4 linked regions of the Arabidopsis thaliana genome follow. The protein of the gene in region 2 interacts with the protein of the main gene of each other region in a biochemical or structural test. Each region holds a gene or a part of one and is shown on either strand. Other genes may lie near its edges. The genes, in order: BEE1, LOB, AT2G42300 and BEE2.

Region 1 (5,013 bases), on a different chromosome or scaffold from region 2:
TAATCTTAACTTCTTTCTGTGTTTTTTTTACTGTTTTCGACATTTTAGGTTGCGGATTTTGGACTCTCTAGACTGTTTCCTATGGATAAAACGCACGTATCTACCGCTCCACAAGGAACTCCGGGATATGTCGACCCGGATTACCACTTATGCTATCAACTCTCAAACAAAAGCGACGTGTACAGCTTTGCGGTAGTGTTAATGGAGCTTATCTCTTCACTTCCAGCAGTCGACATCACAAGACCGCGCCAAGAGATCAACCTCTCGAACATGGCAGTCGTTAAAATCCAGAACCACGAGCTCCGCGACATGGTGGATCCGTCACTTGGGTTTGACACGGATACAAGAGTGAGACAGACGGTGATCGCTGTCGCTGAGCTGGCGTTCCAATGCTTGCAGTCGGATAAAGATCTTAGGCCATGTATGTCGCACGTGCAGGATACGTTGACGAGGATACAGAACAATGGATTTGGTTCGGAAATGGATGTTGTAGATGTGAACAAGAGTGGACCGTTGGTTGCACAGTCTCCAGATAGTGTCATTGTGAAATGGGACAGTAAGTAAAATTAGTCGCACGGCCACTAACATTGTATGTGTTTATTATTTGTATGTTTAAAATTGTCAGTTAACAGTTAGAGAATGGTGTTCGTGTTCTGTATTAGATGATATTTTTGGGAATGTATATAATGATGATCTTGTTCCGATTCCACCTAGAGAGGGACCGTAACATACAAAACTTCGTGATTGGGCCTGACCGGACTAAATCAGCAATTTTGTATTGCTATTTGCTGCCAACTGAAACTATTTTTTTATTAGTGGTTAATTTTATTTTTTTACGGAAAAGGTAAAAATATTTGAGACATCAAAATAATGATGGTAATTAAGTAACGCCAGCTCAGCGACGGCGATGACTATCCACCAATTTAACGTCAGAAGAATATATATATGTATATTGAGCTTATCTTCTGTTTCCAATGTAAGTGGAAAGTCCACTGCTGCAATCACAATGTAAGACCTGCATCTATGAAGTTTTAATGAAAGACACTTTCAGAGAAAAAAAAAAAAAACTTCTGTTTCCAAAATTTCCTAATTAAAGCACACCAATTTGGGCATGGATGCTTTACTACTTCTATTAATGAACAAGTTAAAGAGTAAGTTGTCTTGAATGAATGAAATTGCATGTGAATCAAATCCCTCCACCATACATAATAGATAATCTATAGTAATGGCCCAACTAAACATTGACATTTGTTGCAACCTAACTCTTTCCTAAAAGGAAGAAAAAAAAAAAAAAAAAAAAACTCTTTCCTAAAACTCAATGTGTTTGATCATCACAAGGACAAACAAAGGAAATCTCTAGTATGCCGATTAAAGTGAAAATTTGTCTTCACCAATATAAATAATTTGGTAACTTAAACTTTAACTAAAGATTCATAAATTGGCGTCAACTTATGTAAAAGAACCTTCATATATACTTTCGTTTATCTCCCTATATTTTTATACATACACATATTTATAGTATTTTTGTCGATTAATTGGCATTGGCCATTTGGAAGTTATAATTAAGTTGGCAAATGGATGTGATCTCTTACCCTATACACCTACATAAAAAACCCTCCATGCAAAACATTAATGGATGTTTTCATTAAAACAAGTTTTGATATCAACTTAGTTTGACTAGCTACATCCATTTCAATATTTTCTTCCCAATATTAATAATAAATTTAAAGATAGACCACTAGTTCTTAACCTCACACCAAACTGACTAGAAATGTTCTTCCCCCTTGCAAACAGAGAAAGCCTAATGGAACCCACGACCAAACATTGGTCCTACTTTTCCTTGTTTGGACATATCTCCCCGACACACAAATCCCAGAACGTTCACTTGCCCACGTGGCTCTCCCTTTATTTCTCTCTTTTTCTTTCTTAATTTTCTCCACATTTCTTTTTCTAAAATCATAAATTAAATTAATAAAAAAATCCAATCGAACAATATAAAAGTCTCAAGTTTTGTATCAACCAGTCTAAAGAAGTTGTCAGAAAAAAAAAAAAAAAAAAGTGTCAAGAAGATCATATCTCAATTCATTATATTATGGCAAATTTCGAGAATCTTTCTTCTGATTTTCAGACAATAGCCATGGATATATATTCTTCCATAACTCAAGCTGCAGATCTAAACAACAACAACAGTAACCTTCATTTTCAAACATTTCATCCTTCCTCTACTTCTCTCGAATCGCTCTTCCTTCATCATCATCAACAACAATTACTTCACTTTCCCGGAAACTCTCCAGACAGTAGTAACAATTTCTCTTCAACTTCAAGTTTCCTCCATAGTGATCACAACATCGTCGATGAGACCAAGAAGAGAAAAGCTTTGTTACCTACTTTGTCTTCATCAGAGACTAGCGGCGTCTCCGATAATACGAATGTTATTGCCACTGAAACAGTAATTGATCTCGAAACCCTAGCTAATTATCTTATCATTTTCATAACTTATCATTAAAAAGTTCGTTTAAAATAATTACTTTTATTGTCTAAAAAATATCTAGGGTTCTTTGAGAAGAGGTAAGAGGTTGAAGAAGAAGAAGGAAGAAGAAGACGAGAAAGAGAGAGAAGTTGTTCATGTGAGAGCCAGAAGAGGCCAAGCCACTGATAGCCACAGCTTAGCAGAACGGGTAAAATTGCTTAAATTGTCTATATAAATTCATTTTTTTTATAAACGTGGTGTATTCATTTAAATTTATATACATGTCTACACTCTATATCAAAATTTCAGGTTCGGCGAGGGAAAATAAACGAGAGATTAAGATGCTTGCAAGATATGGTGCCCGGATGTTATAAGGTAATAATGCAAAGATAAATATAATAGTTTAACATTTTCAACTTTTCATTACTTCTTTTTTAATATATTTGTAATCAAAATAGAAACTAATGGCCATTAAACAATAAATAGCATATGAAAAGGTCATCATCGGCATTAATTGTCACTAATTATACTTGAATCAAATTTAAGCATTTTATGATAAAAGTGATACTTTTAGTTAAACAAGAACATATGTATCCAAAAGTATTTTTAACATGCATGAGTGTGATTTTAGCTTTTTTCTTTGATACCGCTCATAATATTTTCCGAAAATTGTTCTTCGGATTTTTTTTTGTTTTTTTTGTTTACAAAGAACTCAGAAAAAAAATTGTAGAAAAAGTGATGTGATTTTCTATTGATTTAGTGGTGCTTACTTCTTATAATGAAAGTGTATGTTTGGTGGGTGCAGGCTATGGGAATGGCTACGATGCTTGACGAGATAATTAATTATGTCCAGTCTCTACAGAATCAAGTCGAGGTAAATAATTTAAGTTGTAATCATAAACTACATATATCAATAAGACTTTGTCTTCTTGTATTTTGGAGAAAGAAAAAAAAAACTAGAAAATGGAGGTTTCATGAGATGGGAGGTTCGGTAAATACCTACTTTAGTAGTACTTTCCGAAACACGGCAAATCTTAGATATTCGAAAATTACAAAAAAAAAACGAAAATCTTACCACACACTTTAAAAAACTTCCAAAACACAAGCTTTAATTTTATAAATTACTCAATTTTGTTTCATGTTTTTTGTGGATTTCAGTTCCTCTCGATGAAACTCACTGCAGCAAGTTCGTTTTATGACTTTAACTCAGAGACAGATGCAGTTGATTCCATGCAGGTACTAGAACATTCTAATAATGTTTTTCAATTCTTAAGATAAGCATATATATAATTAATTAGTGGTAGTCTGGTAGAGATGTTGTAATGGGTCCGGTATGTTTTGATCGAGTCGGTTCTACAAAGATTTATTCAAAAATACAAGTGTTTGTAGTTTAGATTCAATCTTATTAGACTATAATATATGATCACGCGGACTATATGACCCGCAATTAAAATATGTTCGACAGGTCAAATCCAGCCTTTGCATAATTGATCTTGTATGGTTTATTGGTTTAAGTAGTCTCTTTTTTTTTGGCATTATATTTGCATGGTTTAAGTCTAACTAGTTGTTGTTATGACAATTACTTTATTTTAACGTGATAAAGTATTTCTATTAGTATTGAATAATATGAATGGAATACAATTGGCAGAGAGCAAAGGCACGTGAGACAGTGGAGATGGGGAGACAAACAAGAGATGGGAGTCCTGTCTTCCATTTATCAACATGGTCCCTTTGACTTTTGTTTTCTCTTTTCTCTTTTCCTTCTTTTTTATTGTTTTCGAAATTATTCTTCTATTTATTTGGATGCGATATGTCATATATACGACCCAACTTGGGATAATATTTGTAATCTGTATACTTGTAATTTCGACGATATAAATTTATTGGTGACTTATAATTGTCATGTAAATATCTCAGTTGTCCTCTCCCTTTTCGCTTTGCTATTTCGTTTGCTTGGCACCTTTTTCCTTTTCCTCTTATGTAATTGTCCTCTTAAGTTATGAAATGATCAGAAATAAAATTCAACAGAATTTTTTTATTTTGTTTCTGCAAATGAAGTTATAAATCATGGATGAATTAGCTCATATGTCAAAGTGTTGATGAGTGAATTGACGATGATGGGAAGAGAGAAATCAATTGTAAATTGTATATATTACCAAATCTTCAATGAAATGTGATTAGTCTTTATAACAAAAAGAAATGAGCGTTACCAGTCGGTTTAAATATTGATTTTAGTTTATTAATTTTAGGGTCGAGAGTTCTTAGTCTGATTACAGACATGCATGTGCTTTTGATGTCTAGAGTTCCACTTCACTTTCCTACGTAAAGTGGGTTAAAAACGGCTTCGGCTATAGAATTACTAAAAATGAAGATTAGTTTATAATATAAAACGATATGTTCTTGTTAAGGGATTATATTTCCATTCATATGTAATTTGCTTTTGGTTACTAAAAACATTTTCCTTTTTCAGCGAGAAAGGCATAGTTACATATACGATAAACTGGAAGAGGCAAGTTGCGCAAGGTTTGGTAACGAAGAGGAGT
Region 2 (4,541 bases):
TAAACTAATAATAAAGCAGAGACCTTCAATTATTAGCACCCTTAAGTTCTCTGAAACATGCATCCACGCAAACTACAATCCTAGTTTAGGTATTGAACCCAAGGCAATAACAATCATCACCATATTATATATCTAATCATAGGTATTTTTAAAATAATAAAATTCACCAATGCCACTATAGAAACATACCTTTTTCCGTTTCGTAATTAAATGAATATATCTTGCTTACCACAGAATACCATTTTATATTTCAACGTATATTGTAAATAAGATTTTAAATATTTAATGATATAGCATTAAATAAATAAATAAAATTTATACTAAAACTGATATTTTTGTTATTGATATTCATTCTAATTATTGAAATCATTAAAAATAACTAAAAATGAAACGGATAAAACTATATCATGTTTGGCACCTAACATTACAAAAACAATCAAGAAAATAATTATCTAGTAAAATATATTTGTTCAAGTATCATAGCTTAGTTATTGAAAAACATACACTAATAATAATCAAAAACCAAAATATATATACCTCATCAATCATCATAAATAAATAAGAACAGTCCATGCATTTATAATTCGCTAGGAAATAATATCCCACACACAGTCCATGCATTAAACAAATAATATCGTATTCGTACCACACACACATAAATATAGAAAGAGAGAGATGAGAGGATGAATACTCATAATTTATAAACTCTCACATGTTACCTCCTTGCTGATCATGACCATTGTTCCAAGGAAGAAAAGTCCCATACGACCCTCCGGTGCCACGTGGCATCTGATTCATCACCGGACTTGCCCCCGAAAGCCTATAAACCGGGTTCAAGGGAGGCAGTTGCTGCGACGGAAGCGGCTGAGGCTGAAAAACCAAGTCCACGACGTTGCCAGGTGCTCCGGCGGCTGATGTGGACAAACCATAATGTGCCAAGTCAGCATTAGCTGCGTCGAGCTCCTTCTGAAGCCTATGGACTTGTCTCTGGAGATAAGAGATGGCTCCGACGCAGCCATAGACGGGGTCACGGACACGTGCCTCGGCCTCATAGGCTAAGGAGTTGACTGCGTCTTCACGTTGGTGAGGGAGGAGCTCGTTGAGGAGCTTCGTGACGTTGCTTGCTCCAAAGATTTTGTGGACGTTGGCGAATTTGTGTGGCTCCTCCGGTGGAAAATATGGCGCGAATATGCATCCCGGCATGCATTTCCGGCGAAGAAACTTGCACGCCGCGCATGGTGAGTTGTATGAGTTTGATGACGACGCCATTTGTTTTTCTTCTTACAACCTAATATTGTGTTTTAAGAACAAAATACAATTAGAAAGAAAAGTTAAACACACACATATATAGTATGTTTATACATACGATCTACATATATATAATTTAAATTTGCCAGTAAATGATAAAACTCCTACGTTTCGTTTAGAAGTCATTTTTCTATAATTTCTATATTGCAACTTTTTCAAATTTTATATTGAATTTTTTTATTTCCTTCTTTCATTGAATTCCTAATTATCTTTCCATTGATTTTCCCTTTCCACGTTTTTCTTGATGTATATGTAAAATGTCCACCATCAAATCTAATGAAAGGAAAAACATACTATTTACAAAACCTAAATGTCTTTAGATTGAATATTAATTGAACACGTTAGGAACACAGAGATAATCCGGACGTGCTGGAACTATAACTTTAGTTTCACATAACGTTTTTTTTTTCAATTAATTTAGTCTACACTAGTTTTCAAGTAGACAAATATCACTTCACATATTTAATCCCCTATTACCTTCTTAATTTATCTCTACGAATATATTTAACTAACTTCTCCGAATCTTCCTTAACAGAGTATACACATACCCACACTCGCCTTTAATTCTAGCTAATATATGATGTCATACATGTCGATCAGTTATTCCCTGAACAAAACAAAACCAAAAAAAAAAAGCAATCTTATTTTTAAAATGTCAGATGAGTTTGTGTATCCCTCTGTATCTATATCAATCTTACATATAAATACTACATATTTTTGTTCAATGCATATCTACTTCATATTTTACCAAAATATATCAAACAGTTTTTCTTTGTAATTCAATTGTGTCCTGATGTGTTTTACCATCTTCTTCATCTTCCTCTCACTCTCTCTTCAACCCTAGCTTTGTTAAAAGAAACTATAACTTAAAAGGGAAACTCAGTGAGGATTTTATAATTTCTATTTGTATGCCTCAAAACTAAACTTGGTCAAAGAAATTTCAAAAATTGTCTTTACTAAGTAAGATAAACTCTCTCTTTTTCTCCGAGATGAAGCAATTCTACTGACCTCAAGTCTATACCAATTTGGATTTGTTTGTAAACTTTAGATCTGACCTTAATTATGTCAACTCAAAGAGATCACGAAGGTTTAATTACACGTGTTTACTTATATCCTTGTCTCATTTGCTATAATTAATTAGATAACCTTGTTAAGTCTTTATTATAGTAGAAATTCAAAAGGAAAGTGACAGAAGGATCAAAGTGAATATGTGTATGAGCAACATAGAACATAGAACATGGAGCATAGAAAATAAAATTAAACATAGATTAGAAGACTTGTTTTGATAATCGGGAGCTATGCATAAATCCAGGGATTTATTAAGATACATACATCAAAGTATATACATATACCTGCCTTTAGATCTTTAGGTTCTTTGAGGATCTTGTATCTTTCTTCCTCTTTCAAGGGCTTTTACCTTACCCTTTGAATTTCGCTTCCAAAGTAGATAGAGTAGGCTTAACTCTTTAGTCAATGAGAGGGATATATTAGGGTTTTAGCCCTCTCAAAGAAAGAGGAAACCCTAATGTCAAGAAGAATTGAGAAAGGTTTGTATAGAAGCTGAGAATTTAAAGAAACCAAACAAACAAATAAAAAGGAAAAAATAGAGAAATGTTTTAGTGGAGAGGAAGGAGAAAGAGCAAAAGACAAAGTGTAATAATAACAAATGAACAATTAATAAACAGGAAGAGGAGGAGAGGGTATGTCCCTTAAAGAATGACTATGACATTTCATCTCAAGAATATTAGTAATATCATTTCACTGTGCTTACTTTTGTCTCCCATTAGATTATTTTTTAAAACCTTAGCTTTTGTGAATTTTTCTTCATACATTTAATGTTAACAATATTCCCTAACAGTCCCGAAATCAACCCTAAGCTAACTAATCAATTATCATTGTGTGTATATAAATATCACTATATATGATCTCTCTATATATACCTGTCTCACGCTGATGGCCAAAATTTGGAACCTCAAGAAAACCCTAAGCATCTCTCTATATCAATCTCGACTTTAATTGAATATCATAACAAACCCTGATTTGCAATGAGAACTAAAGAACATATTATATGACTGTTTTTGGCAGAACAAACTATACAATTAATATATAGCGGTATAAATTTGGTGACTGGTAACTTGTTCTCTTGTTCATACCGTTGTGAAAAAAGCTTGACATCCTAAAATTAACAGCAATGAATTGAACCTTTTTTTCAGGTGTGGCAAAATAATTCTTCAATTTAATTTAATCGAACAACAGTTAATAGGAACAAGAATAAACTCTTGAGACCTCAAAGTAGCTACGTAGAGACAGGAAATCAGTAAAAGTCAAGCGATTTCATGTGAACGATCAAGTCAAGTTTAAATAGGTTTTGTAAAATCAGAACTTTTGTAATGGAAAATAAACTATGAGGGGGTCCGAAGATTTTTGAAGCTATAGCTAGCTAGGGTTAGTATCATACAACAGTTACTTGTGTTAGATTATATATTATTGGAAGTGACAACCGATTGAGACATTTTTCATAATGTCTTCTTCTTTTTATTTCGCACCAATTCTTGGTCTAATGTAGAATTCAAATGGTTCAATATTGAAGATATATTAGACTGGCAAAATTCAAATGCAAATGTAGATCATAAATAGTTACCTAATGGAAAAGTAAATGAGATAATTTTCTTATTACTATCAGAAAATTGTGGTAAATTAACCTTTTGAATATTTTCAAGATCATTATTTGTTGGTCTAAGTTATGATGGTGGTTAGTGGTGGGAACTTAGTAATTTACTAAAGTGAAGCATCTATAGGCTTTATCACCAAACTAATGTCTTCATATTTTTCTTAAGATATTAATTTTGTGACTAATATATATCGGGATTAGGGTTCGAAAATAGAGGTCCTATTCTTTTCTAAAAGAGGAAACTAGTCTCGTACTTGGAAAGTAGAGCTTCTCTCTCGTTATGATACAAAAATTGACTGATTATTCAAAGTTTTCAATGTTATTGATTGCGCATTCTGATATGATAGATAATAAGTAACTATATCGAATAAGTTGAAAGTTGTTTGGAGAGCTATGATATGGTTTATTCGTTCCGTCCGACGTTGTAAATTCAACACTAAGCCTACATATTACAGAAGAAACCATAACAAAGTTTACCATCAAAAGATTAAAGTAATCGATTAGAATGGGTATTGATCTATATATATAGCCCTTCAATATATATAGAGAGGTTGCATATAAA
Region 3 (6,421 bases), on a different chromosome or scaffold from region 2:
AGTAACCCTTAGGTCGCTCCTCGTGACCTGGCGTCGCCCACCGACTCGGACCGGCGGATGTAGATCCAGACCTAGAGAAGATCCGATTTCGTAGCGTCTTCGCTGCGACGGTCAAGGACTGCGTCGACGGCATCGCGTTGGTTCAGATATTTCCGCTGTAAGCAAAAAGGAAATGCTCAGATTTGTCAAGTGTCCAACTATATACGACCACGACCTACAAAAGGTTTCATTCGAACCGAACCGAGAATTTCAATTTTGGTTTATTGAAATTGTCAGTTTAATTGGGAATTATATAATGGTTTCAGCTTAGATTATCCGGTCTAACAGATTTATATACGAAATTGACTCTCTTTTATGTTCGGTATGACTTGGTATTCTCAGTTCTCATTTTGTTTTACGGTTTGACTGGAAATTTTGTAGTCCAAATCGGTTCTGGCAGTTTGGTTATAATTTAGGTAGACCAAATTGAATTGGTCACACTAGTCGGTTAAGCAGTATTGGATGATAGTATTCGTGTACGACGTCGTAATTGCTCAGTAACATATCAAATCTTCATATACTTCTCTCAAGGGAAACGCAATTTAGACATTCTGAATTCTACATTGAGGAATCTAGTAAATATAGAAAGGCCATGAACAAAGACCTGAAACAATCATAACCATTTTCTACCTCTAATTCAACAATCGAAACTTTAGTAGATATATATAACTCTTATATATACACATAAGCATGTCAAACTGTTTCCAACTTAGAGCTCCATTTTCACCTGATTTGGGTGTAAAGTAGCTGAACCCATTGAGAAATTGGCTTGATGATGATCTTCTTCTCTTCCCCATTCCGGCTGGTGGTAGCCGTCGAAAGGCCATTGTTGCAGCTGATGATAAGACTCTGCATTGAAGCTACCATCCATAAGAGAGCCGTTCTGCAGAAAAGATAATTGGACCTCATCATTATTAACACAATTTGTAAAACATATCAGCTTCTCTTAGAGATGATTGATCCAACATCCTAGATTCTCAATCTAGTCAACAAGCCAGCTCTATTTTACTGTAACTCATCCTAGAAGAACAAGGTTTTTAATGAGTGGGGTCTGGTTCTTAAATGGTGTACAAGCTGTAAAAGAAGAAGGTCATTTAATAAGAAAGTTATTTGCAGAGAAACAAAAGTTGATTATTAGATTAGATAGGTGAAACTTGAAGCAACAATAACTTAAGACTGAGACCCACAGAAAAATAATTGTGCAAGGATAAAAAAAAAAGACAGCATCATAGACCATAGAACAAAGGTGGTCCGTGTTTCTGACCACTTTTATCTCTCTGTATGATATAATTGAGAGAACTAATGAGTCCTTTCAAAAGATTTTTTAGAGTCCTTGATCTCACTGTTTGTACTGCATTTTTGTAAGGTCTAAGTATTTATTTCCCCCACGTTGTTCTTCTTCTTTAAGCCTAGTCTAGAATAGGGTCGATTAATGTTGGATCAATAAATATCCAAAAGTTTCTCTTTTTGTGATACAACTTAAAAAGGTTACTCAAAGAAACATAATCCCTATGGTTACTTAAACGAGTAACATGGTCAAAGGGAAGTTTTTCCCAGTGAACATTGAATTTAAGAGTTTTTATTGTAAAAGAAGATCACATGCAACCTTAATTCTCCTATATGATTAGTTGATACTTACCTCTGAAGCCAGTATGCTGTCTAGATTGAAGTCGATTCTGGGGTTTACTGCAGCAAGTCTCATAGATAGCATCTGAAAAGAAGAAAAACGGTTATGTGACACTGTGGCACCAATTTTATCATACATTGTGTAGCTTAGTGTTTCAGTTCAGGACCTTCAGGTAAACAACAACAAAAGATAGTGCAAGAAGTCCTACCTCCACTTGACGCTGTAAAGTTTGCACATGGTTAATGATTTCATCCAGAACCAATGCAGTGCCCTGAATCTGCAGGCCAAAGCTTTCTGGTCAGTCAGAAAGAAAGAAGAACAAGGCATAGTTTTTAGAAATATATGTGGTTAACGAAGCAGTGTGAAAATGAGCCTTAATCCTAAGTTGCATATGTATAACGGCTTCTATAAAATCAACAACTCTACTCTTTTCAAGATAATATGCCAGAAAAGCGAATCAGAGCAACATCTGTAGTTTACAAACATGGATTCAGGATTTCTCAGGATTTCATGAAACAAACAATCAAGTCCCAAAACCCCACAAATTTGACAAACTCTTAAAGAGTTGTCACTTATCATCATCTCCTTCCACCAATAATTGCAGCTAAATTCCAAGATATCTATGGATTAGTTAGCTGTCTGCAGGAGTGTCACATCATGTATCCAACCAATTAGGTATTGTGGGACTCAAAGCATATAACAATATTAGTGACGATACTACACTCCTCACCCTCTTTCTACTTGATAGATACCAAACTTATTAGAGACGATACTACACTCCTCACCCTCCATAGAAAGCCTGCAACTTTTGCCACTTATTATCAAAAGATGGACCCCAAAACACAGTCTGACCTTGATCTATCCACCAAAATCTGTCCCCTCTACCCAAAACCTTAAGGGAACAGTCCAGCTAGCATTCCCACATCATATAATCCATTATCGGCATTTATGGAGTAAGCTTCAAGCTCAAATGAATACACTTTGGGAAGAAGAAACAAGAATCTATTGAGCAATGTCACATCACTTCCGTATTACTACTACTAGTTTACCTAAATGGTTGTGACCCGTGAGATATTCTTCCCCACACGAAAATAAAGTTTACATATCTTCAAGGCAGTGAAATTACCAAACTAGTGGTTTTGTTCTTTGTCACACCACAAAACCTTTTTCATATAAGAGGAATTTAGCACTAAACCCTTATCAAACCACATGATCAAATTATAGAAAAAAAATCACTTTTTGGGGGTTGGTCTTAATAAAGAAAGATTCTGTCTTTAAGCACAAATGAAGATCTAATTATTGATTAGCTTTTTGATTAAAAGGTCAATTATCTAAAGACAAACCTTATCACAGCCTGGGACCAGTTCCTGTAGCAGCTTCATTCGTGCGTTTATCTTCTCCCTTCTTGCCTATAATCAAGAGTTAATGATTAATTAGCATATTGCCACTAATTAATTAATACAAACCATGTCTGTGAGATTGTGAATTACTCTCTCTGCTAAGCTATGGTTATCAGTAGCTTGACCACGACGAGCTCTGACATGAACATATGGCAACTTGTCTGACTCCACGGAGCTCTTGTTCTTCTTCGTCGAGCTTTTGACCTAGAAATTAAGGAATAAAGAAATTAGGGACTAATCTCTCTTGTTTAATTAACAAGTTTGATTGTGTGAACAATTGGTATCACCTTCTTCTCGCGTTCTTTCCTTTTTCCAGAAGAGTAGCTCTGGTTCTGATTCTCCACCATTGAATCGGTCTCAGCAGGCTCGGCTTTGACTCTGTCCAGATTCGCGCCGGGATTAGAAGGTAAAGAGTTAGCAGTCTCGCCGGAAAAATTACCGTTTTGCTCTGTAGCAATCACCGAGAAACGAGCGGCGCGGTCCAAGAGAAGCGAGTTAGAAGGAAAAGTCAAAGCCCCGAAAGGGTGAAGAGTGGTAGGAGAAATATCACCACTGGTAACGGTTCTGGCCTGAGAAGACGATGAATCTGGGAAATGGAGAAGCTCCATGGCCTGAGTCACAGGCATCTCGAGTAAAGCCGTGAAGGAGCCGCCAGTAGTCTCCGGAGGCATCGTCGTCACTAAGTGCCGAAATTCGTCGCTGAAATTGAGAGATTCTAGTCCGGCCACCGGCCCAACAACGCCGGATCTAGCTCTGAAACCTTGGGTCAGATCCATTAGCCGGGAAAATCACACTTAAACCGGAATAAACCGAGTTGAATGAAATTCAGTGATAACCAGAACCGACCGACTTGATCAACTCGTTCCTTTTAGAGCTTTTAAAATCGAGAGAGAAAAAAAGGAATTTAATTTTTGTCAGTTGGGGAGTATTTTGACAGTTAACGCGAAGGAGGTTGCATCAATGGCGGTATTAAAGAGAGTAGCGAATGAAATATTTCTCTCTCTGTCCCTCTCTGTGAGTTTCTCAGAGCTTGCTCAAGAAAAGAAAAAGTCTTCTTCTTCGTTAAGAGTTTATTATATCTGTGTGTGTTCTGAGAGCACAAGAGCCATTTGGAGTGGGAAGAAAGCAACGTTAGCTTTGGAGTGCGTCTGTTAATAAAGCCAAATTTTTAGAGAAAGGAAATATCCAATTTATGGGGTTTGGAGAGACGATGATAGAGAGACGCTTTTGAATTGGGCCTATTGGGCTTTATTCGGTAGTATTTTTAATCCCTGTGTAATGGGTCACTTGTTTTTTTCTGGTTTAGTGGTTACTAATCACTATAGTTGGAGCCATAAATAAGGTCATTTCACTATGATTCATTCTTTTTTTTTCCTTTCCTTTTTAATTTTTATAGACTCTGGTGAGTAAATTTTCAAATTTTGACTGGTCGTTGTTCACCCTCTTATTTTATTTTATTTTGTTCAAGGTCGTTATTGTTCAGCCTCTAAAATTACTCTTTTTATAAAAAATAAGCTTGAGATGAATCAGAGTGCCACACTCGAATAAATGAAAACGACAAGACTTTCCGTCCCCACCAATTATTTAAGTTACATGGATCTAAAAATTCGGCCGTTTTTAGTGATTTATTGGGCCACATGGACCGTTGATTGAGATTGCCAAAATTGGCCCATCTCACTCACTGCATTGGAGTTCTAGTGTTTGTACCAAAAACGGTAAGATGTTTGCGTACATTGACCGCAATTTGTAGCCCTCCCAGTTCTTGCACGACAAGGTTTTGTAGGATTTTAAGGTACTACTATTTCCTCTTGAAAGTTCTTTAACTGAAAAAAGTAATTGTTAACAAAAGTCGGATGTGATGATATGATGCATATATTTATTTGATGTTGTGAATAAGTTGAATTTGGGCCGTGACAAAGTGCTAACCCAACAACAATGGGACTTGTGACTCTTCGTGTATATTTCGGAATTGCCCATTAAGACTAGGAGTAGAGGAGCCAAAAGTGGCATATTTTCAAATGCATCTTTGTGTGGTTACTTTGTCGGTTGGTTAATGATTTTTCTCTGACACAATCCACTCTCTACCGTCTCTTCCCTCCTTTAATTTGAATAAATATGACATCCTCTATCCAATTCAAATTCATATGCAATAGGTCGAGTTCGATTATTTTCAATTATTCTTAAACATATTTTAATCCTTTTTTTAGTTACTGCTGAATCTTGTAAAAGTAAAACAATTATCGACCCAGTGGGACTGTACAGTTTTTTCATGGCTCAAGAGTGAAGAGGTCCTATACGAGTTAAGATTCTATAGACTATAGCATTTAAGATAACACTTTGTTTATTTTTTGTATCCCAAATTTGTTGTAACTTTTTTTTTTGATACCTATATATAGTTTTAATGCTATAAAAATCCAGTGACCCTAGATATCACCAACGGATACACACAAATTAAAAATGTAACAACAACCCACCTGCATCAATCAATAACTAAACTTCAAAAAGTTTCAAAAATAACCACAAAATGTCAAAAACCCAAAACGCAAATCCCAATATATCACATTTTTAATTAGAACTGTAGTGTATATATTATTAAAATTTCAAACCATAGTATATGGACAAGAATTCAAAAAATTGATCATGACTACATTACACCACGTTGCTAACATGAAACCATAAAAGAATCATACCTCGGTCAAATCTCCCATTATTCTTCTCCTTCGTCTTCACTGTTTACCGTTTTTCCTCTGCAACTTCTCGTTGCCTCACACTATATGAATCATCTGTAATTTGTAGCTTCTTTAACAACCAAAAAGTTTCAAGATTCCTATATCCTAAGCAAAAAATGAAGTTACCATCGATTCTTTCACTTGTTGTTTCTTCCATCTTTCTCTGCATGAGCTTTTGCTCCTCTCTCAATTCCGACGGTTTATCTCTCCTAGCTCTCAAATCCGCCGTCGATAACGACCCGACCCGAGTAATGACCCACTGGTCTGAATCCGACCCGACTCCTTGCCATTGGTCCGGAATCGTCTGCACAAACGGCCGAGTCACAACTCTTGTACTCTTCGGAAAAAGTCTCTCCGGTTACATTCCATCAGAACTCGGTTTACTCAACTCGCTAAACCGGCTTGATCTAGCTCACAACAATTTCTCTAAAACCATACCGGTTCGTCTCTTCGAAGCAACCAAGCTCCGGTACATCGATCTCTCTCACAACTCACTCTCCGGCCCAATACCGGCCCAAATCAAGTCCATGAAGTCACTCAACCACCTTGATTTCTCCTCCAATCATCTCAACGGTTCACTCCCTGAGTCACTCACTGAACTCGGAAGCCTCGTCGGAACCTTGAAT
Region 4 (3,909 bases), on a different chromosome or scaffold from region 2:
GAGAAAGGTCGGGGTTGTATCACCGAAACCCCGGATTGTTTAGCTTCCATAGCTGAATTACTCGAGTCAAATGTTCCCGAGGAGCAAGAGAACGCAATCTCCATCCTCCTTCAGCTCTGTGTGCAGAAGATAGAGTATTGCTGTCTTGTCGTGAGAGAAGCAACTGATATTTACTCATCTCTAATCTTGATATCCAACAATGGAACAGAGGAAGTAAAGGTGAGTGCATCAGAATTACTTAGAGCTCTTGTAGAAGTAGATTCCGACAAAGAAGAAGAAGAAGAAGTTTCCTCCAGACCAGAAGGAAGAACAACTGCTTCGCCTACTTCACAGGTTGTTACTCCAGTTACTCATCCGGAACCTGTTAAAATAACACCATCTCCCAAGAAATCTGGTCTTTTTGGATTCAATTTCTCCAGTCTCAAGAAGAAGAAAAAATAGAAAGAAGCATAAGATACATTATTAGGCTGGATTTAACTTAATTTTTGAGAAATTTTTTTGATTTTTTTTTTGGCTCTCTGTTTGTTGGCTTAGGTTTGTATATGTTGATACCAGGCCAAAAGGCATCTCCATTAATACAAGTGTAGTTGTAATTTGTGAAGGAAATAATTGTTACGACCACAAGAGTTTGATTCTACAATGTACAAAAAAAGGAATTGCTATGACCACAAGAGTTTTTTCTCTTTCTTCTACACATATACATATCCCCTGGAATATATGTAAATCACTATATTTGTATGAAGATAATAGATTGAGAAAGATCTTTGGATTGGTTTCCTCTGTCTCTTTTGGTTCAAATTTCAGATAAGATAGATAAATGGATAAGACAACAACAAAAAACCGCGATTTTTTTAATGAGGCTATCCCTAATTTTTTTACTTGAGGCTGAAGAAATTGGAAACAGAATCGGTTCTCAAGCTGTTGTAAAGACACTGTGAGTGAGTTTCCCAGCTTGATGATGTATGATCTTTCTGCAAAACAGAATAAGAAATAAGTTACTTCACGGACAAGTAACAAAAAATTGGGACTAATGAAAGATTTGTCTGAGATAAAGATTATTACAGCGCCGAGAGATGTGGTGTGGTCTGAGTTTATGACTGAGTAATCTAAAGATCCTTGCTGATGTAATGGAAAAGACCGAAAATCCGCCATGATTGACTGCTTCGAGTCACCTTCTGGAGGACCTGTGAAGTAAGCCTGAAACTAGATTCCAATATTTAACCAGTCAATAAATGCGGTAATTAAACTCTTGGTTAGTTCTTGGGATGAAAACTGACTATTATTCACCTGTTTTGCGGATAAATCATCGATATGACACTCAAGTTCTGGATTTATGACAGAGAGTTTCATCGACAAGAACTCGACTTGTTGTTGCAGAGATTGGACATAGTTGATGATCTCATCAAGCATACCAGCTTTTCCAGTAACTTTGTTGCATCCAGGAACAATATCTTGTAGACATTTCATCTTCTTGCTTATCTTTTCTCTTCTTGCCTGCCAAAATCCCACAAATATAAAACCACTCAAATCTCTAATGAAAGTAATTTCTCTGAAACCTATTTAACAACAACACTTTAGTTAATTACCCTCTCTGCTAAGCTATGTCTGTCGGTGGCTTCACCTCGTCTAGCCCTAACATGAATGTAATCTGGTTTCTGAATTTCTGAAGATGTCTCTGTGTTACTCATGTTTGATTTCCCTTTCATGCTTGGCTCTGTTTCATCCTCTGCTTTGATCTTCTTCTTCTCTCTCTTTTCTGTCTTACCCTAAAACCAATAGTTAAAACGATCAGAAACAATGTTTCAAACAAAATCTAAACTCTAATACTCAATACTTTCTTGAGCTACAAACCTCTGGTTTTCTCTTGTTCTGCAAGGTAATGGCTCTGCTGTGTCCATTATTCTTCACTGGCTCCATATGGAAGCTACTTGTCCTAGAAATGCAGCCATCAGTAGTATCATAATCCGGTCCGAATTCGGGAAAATGTCTGAAACTCTGCAGCTCATCATTGTTGTTTCCCAAGTAACTCTCAACTCTTTTGAGCTCTTCTCTCCCATCTGAGCCAAGTATCTGAAGAAACTCAGGTGAAACCATTTGTTGCTGTTGCAGCCACTTAAGCCTATCAAGTACAGACAAGTCCATGAAGAGAAGGTAAAAAAAAAACTTTAAAAGGCTCTTATCTTTTCTTTGAGGGGGTTAAAGCAAAAGAGAAAAAGAGAGAGTTAAGTTATATATGTGTGGAAGAAAAGTAATCCATTAGATATAATTATTCTTAGCTTTAAATAGAAAGCAACATTGACCCACACACATGAGATTCGAAATCTAGTGAGAGAGGGACAAAATTGATAAAAGTGGAGGAGGTTGGGGACAAAGAAGGTGAGATGAGAAGTTGTGGGGTCTAATTGACATAACCTACCATGTGGTCATGTCCTTATGAACATGAGATGAGGAGTCTCTTAAGTTAGTCTCTTTTGTGTCTTTTCTCTGTGTTTTTTTTTTTCCTTTTGGCCTTTCAAGTTTTTGAGAGGATCTTTTTGTTTGGCAACAATAATCAAACTTTGTAAAACTTAAGGTTCATGAGGGTATTATCATATAAATATCCTCTTTTGTAAAATCAAATCATTGAGTTTTTGGTAAGACAACCTTCTAATTGTACCAATTTGTTTTGTTAGAGAGAGAGAGAGAGAGGGTCTTTCTTAGGCTTGAAGGTGGAGAATGTGGGGAATGTGAATTATGAATCTTAACTTGCAAATGAATAGAAACAATGGTTTGAATCATGAGTGATATCATTTCAATGTCTTGTTGTGAATCTATACGTGATCCTTGTGACGTATGATTACTACCCTTCATCAATCCATAGATTACACCAATAATTTAAGTGGATTTCATATATTAGAGAGATGGCAACTCGATGAATATATGACATATTATAATATCACATATTATAATTCATAACTGATAGGGACACAAAATAAGCGACCTAAAGAAGAAAATGGGTTTGAAGATAAGTGATAGGAAGGTAGGCGACACCATTGCTTTTGATCTAAGTGTTTGGTCCCTATACTTTCTTTTTTTCCCTATTAATTATATATCTATACATTATCTATAATGCGTGACATAATTCAAGAGAATCAATACTATTTCGATTTTTTTTTTTTGAAGAACTTGAAAAAATATATCCAAAATTAGACCGATTTCAATAACACACCGTACAGGTTGCTTTGAGGTTTCCATTTCATTGGTTCTTTGGGAAACATCAATAACAAGCTGCTTATGAGATGAGAAGAGTAAATGCTTCAAATGCCAAAATACTTAACGTTGAGAGTATCTGTTGTTTTTTGCAATTTCCACAAAAAAGTTTTAGAAAGTTTTTGATTCAATGGGTTTCAGGATGTATTCTTTTGTAAAGAAGTTTGTGTCAATGCATTCATGTTGCAATTAGGCATTTTGTCGAATCACGAAAACGGAAGGAACACTCGTATTCGTCACATCAAAGTATAAGGCCCTAGATCGTGTGTATCACGTCTCTAATTTGCTTACTTACAAAACTGTGTTGTTTGCTCTTTTCACTAATGATGGATCTATGTGATAACAGGAATCACATTCCACGTCAATTATTTCTGTTTACTTCAAAAGAATGTCACACCTATGCAACAGTGAGACAAGATCTGAGGAAGAGAGTTAGAGAACATGAAATTTAAGAAAGAGTGCTTCAATATCTTGTTGTGTACAAATCAATAGTTCTGTTTGATAATATCAACTTGACAGCTTTTGTCAAAATGATGAGTAAAAAATCAGGATCTTTGGGACAAATACGGCTGAACCGGCCGGTTTAGCTAAGTCGAAATTACCGGCCTAATCGTTAAACCATAAAAACCGCAACTTTCAGAAACACTCTGCTTCGTCGAG

The links.
Region 1: the proteins of LOB (region 2) and BEE1 form a complex in vitro, tested with the Arabidopsis thaliana proteins (one study listed by BioGRID).
Region 3: the proteins of LOB (region 2) and AT2G42300 form a complex in vitro, tested with the Arabidopsis thaliana proteins (one study listed by BioGRID).
Region 4: the proteins of LOB (region 2) and BEE2 form a complex in vitro, tested with the Arabidopsis thaliana proteins (one study listed by BioGRID).

Annotation. Positions count from the first base shown.
Region 1 is NC_003070.9:6,329,372-6,334,384, forward strand, and holds BEE1 (BR enhanced expression 1), read left to right. Parts: upstream 1-2,026; 5' UTR 2,027-2,092; coding exon 2,093-2,449; intron 2,450-2,552; coding exon 2,553-2,678; intron 2,679-2,779; coding exon 2,780-2,845; intron 2,846-3,275; coding exon 3,276-3,344; intron 3,345-3,628; coding exon 3,629-3,706; coding exon of another isoform or gene 3,707-3,748; exon of another isoform or gene 3,749-4,118; coding exon 4,119-4,205; 3' UTR 4,206-4,485; downstream 4,486-5,013. Other genes in the region: AT1G18390 (Serine/Threonine kinase family catalytic domain protein), read left to right, coding at 49-564. UniProt on the Arabidopsis thaliana protein: Positive regulator of brassinosteroid signaling.
Region 2 is NC_003076.8:25,308,015-25,312,555, forward strand, and holds LOB (Lateral organ boundaries (LOB) domain family protein), read right to left. Parts: upstream 3,006-4,541; 5' UTR 2,661-3,005; intron 1,916-2,660; exon of another isoform or gene 1,786-1,915; intron 1,289-1,785; 5' UTR 1,270-1,288; coding exon 709-1,269; 3' UTR 532-708; downstream 1-531. UniProt on the Arabidopsis thaliana protein: Not known; ectopic expression of LOB leads to alterations in the size and shape of leaves and floral organs and causes male and female sterility.
Region 3 is NC_003071.7:17,618,963-17,625,383, reverse strand, and holds AT2G42300 (basic helix-loop-helix (bHLH) DNA-binding superfamily protein), read right to left. Parts: upstream 4,490-6,421; 5' UTR 3,843-4,489; coding exon 3,354-3,842; intron 3,271-3,353; coding exon 3,157-3,270; intron 3,076-3,156; coding exon 3,010-3,075; coding exon of another isoform or gene 2,998-3,009; exon of another isoform or gene 1,944-2,997; coding exon 1,875-1,943; intron 1,751-1,874; coding exon 1,679-1,750; coding exon of another isoform or gene 1,664-1,678; exon of another isoform or gene 923-1,663; coding exon 749-922; 3' UTR 532-748; downstream 1-531. Other genes in the region: AT2G42310 (ESSS subunit of NADH:ubiquinone oxidoreductase (complex I) protein), read right to left, coding at 1-133; AT2G42290 (Leucine-rich repeat protein kinase family protein), read left to right, coding at 5,912-6,421.
Region 4 is NC_003075.7:17,241,932-17,245,840, reverse strand, and holds BEE2 (BR enhanced expression 2), read right to left. Parts: upstream 2,259-3,909; 5' UTR 2,143-2,258; coding exon 1,852-2,142; intron 1,767-1,851; coding exon 1,587-1,766; intron 1,495-1,586; coding exon 1,288-1,494; intron 1,204-1,287; coding exon 1,063-1,203; intron 972-1,062; coding exon 876-971; 3' UTR 545-875; downstream 1-544. Other genes in the region: AT4G36550 (ARM repeat superfamily protein), read left to right, coding at 1-441. UniProt on the Arabidopsis thaliana protein: Positive regulator of brassinosteroid signaling.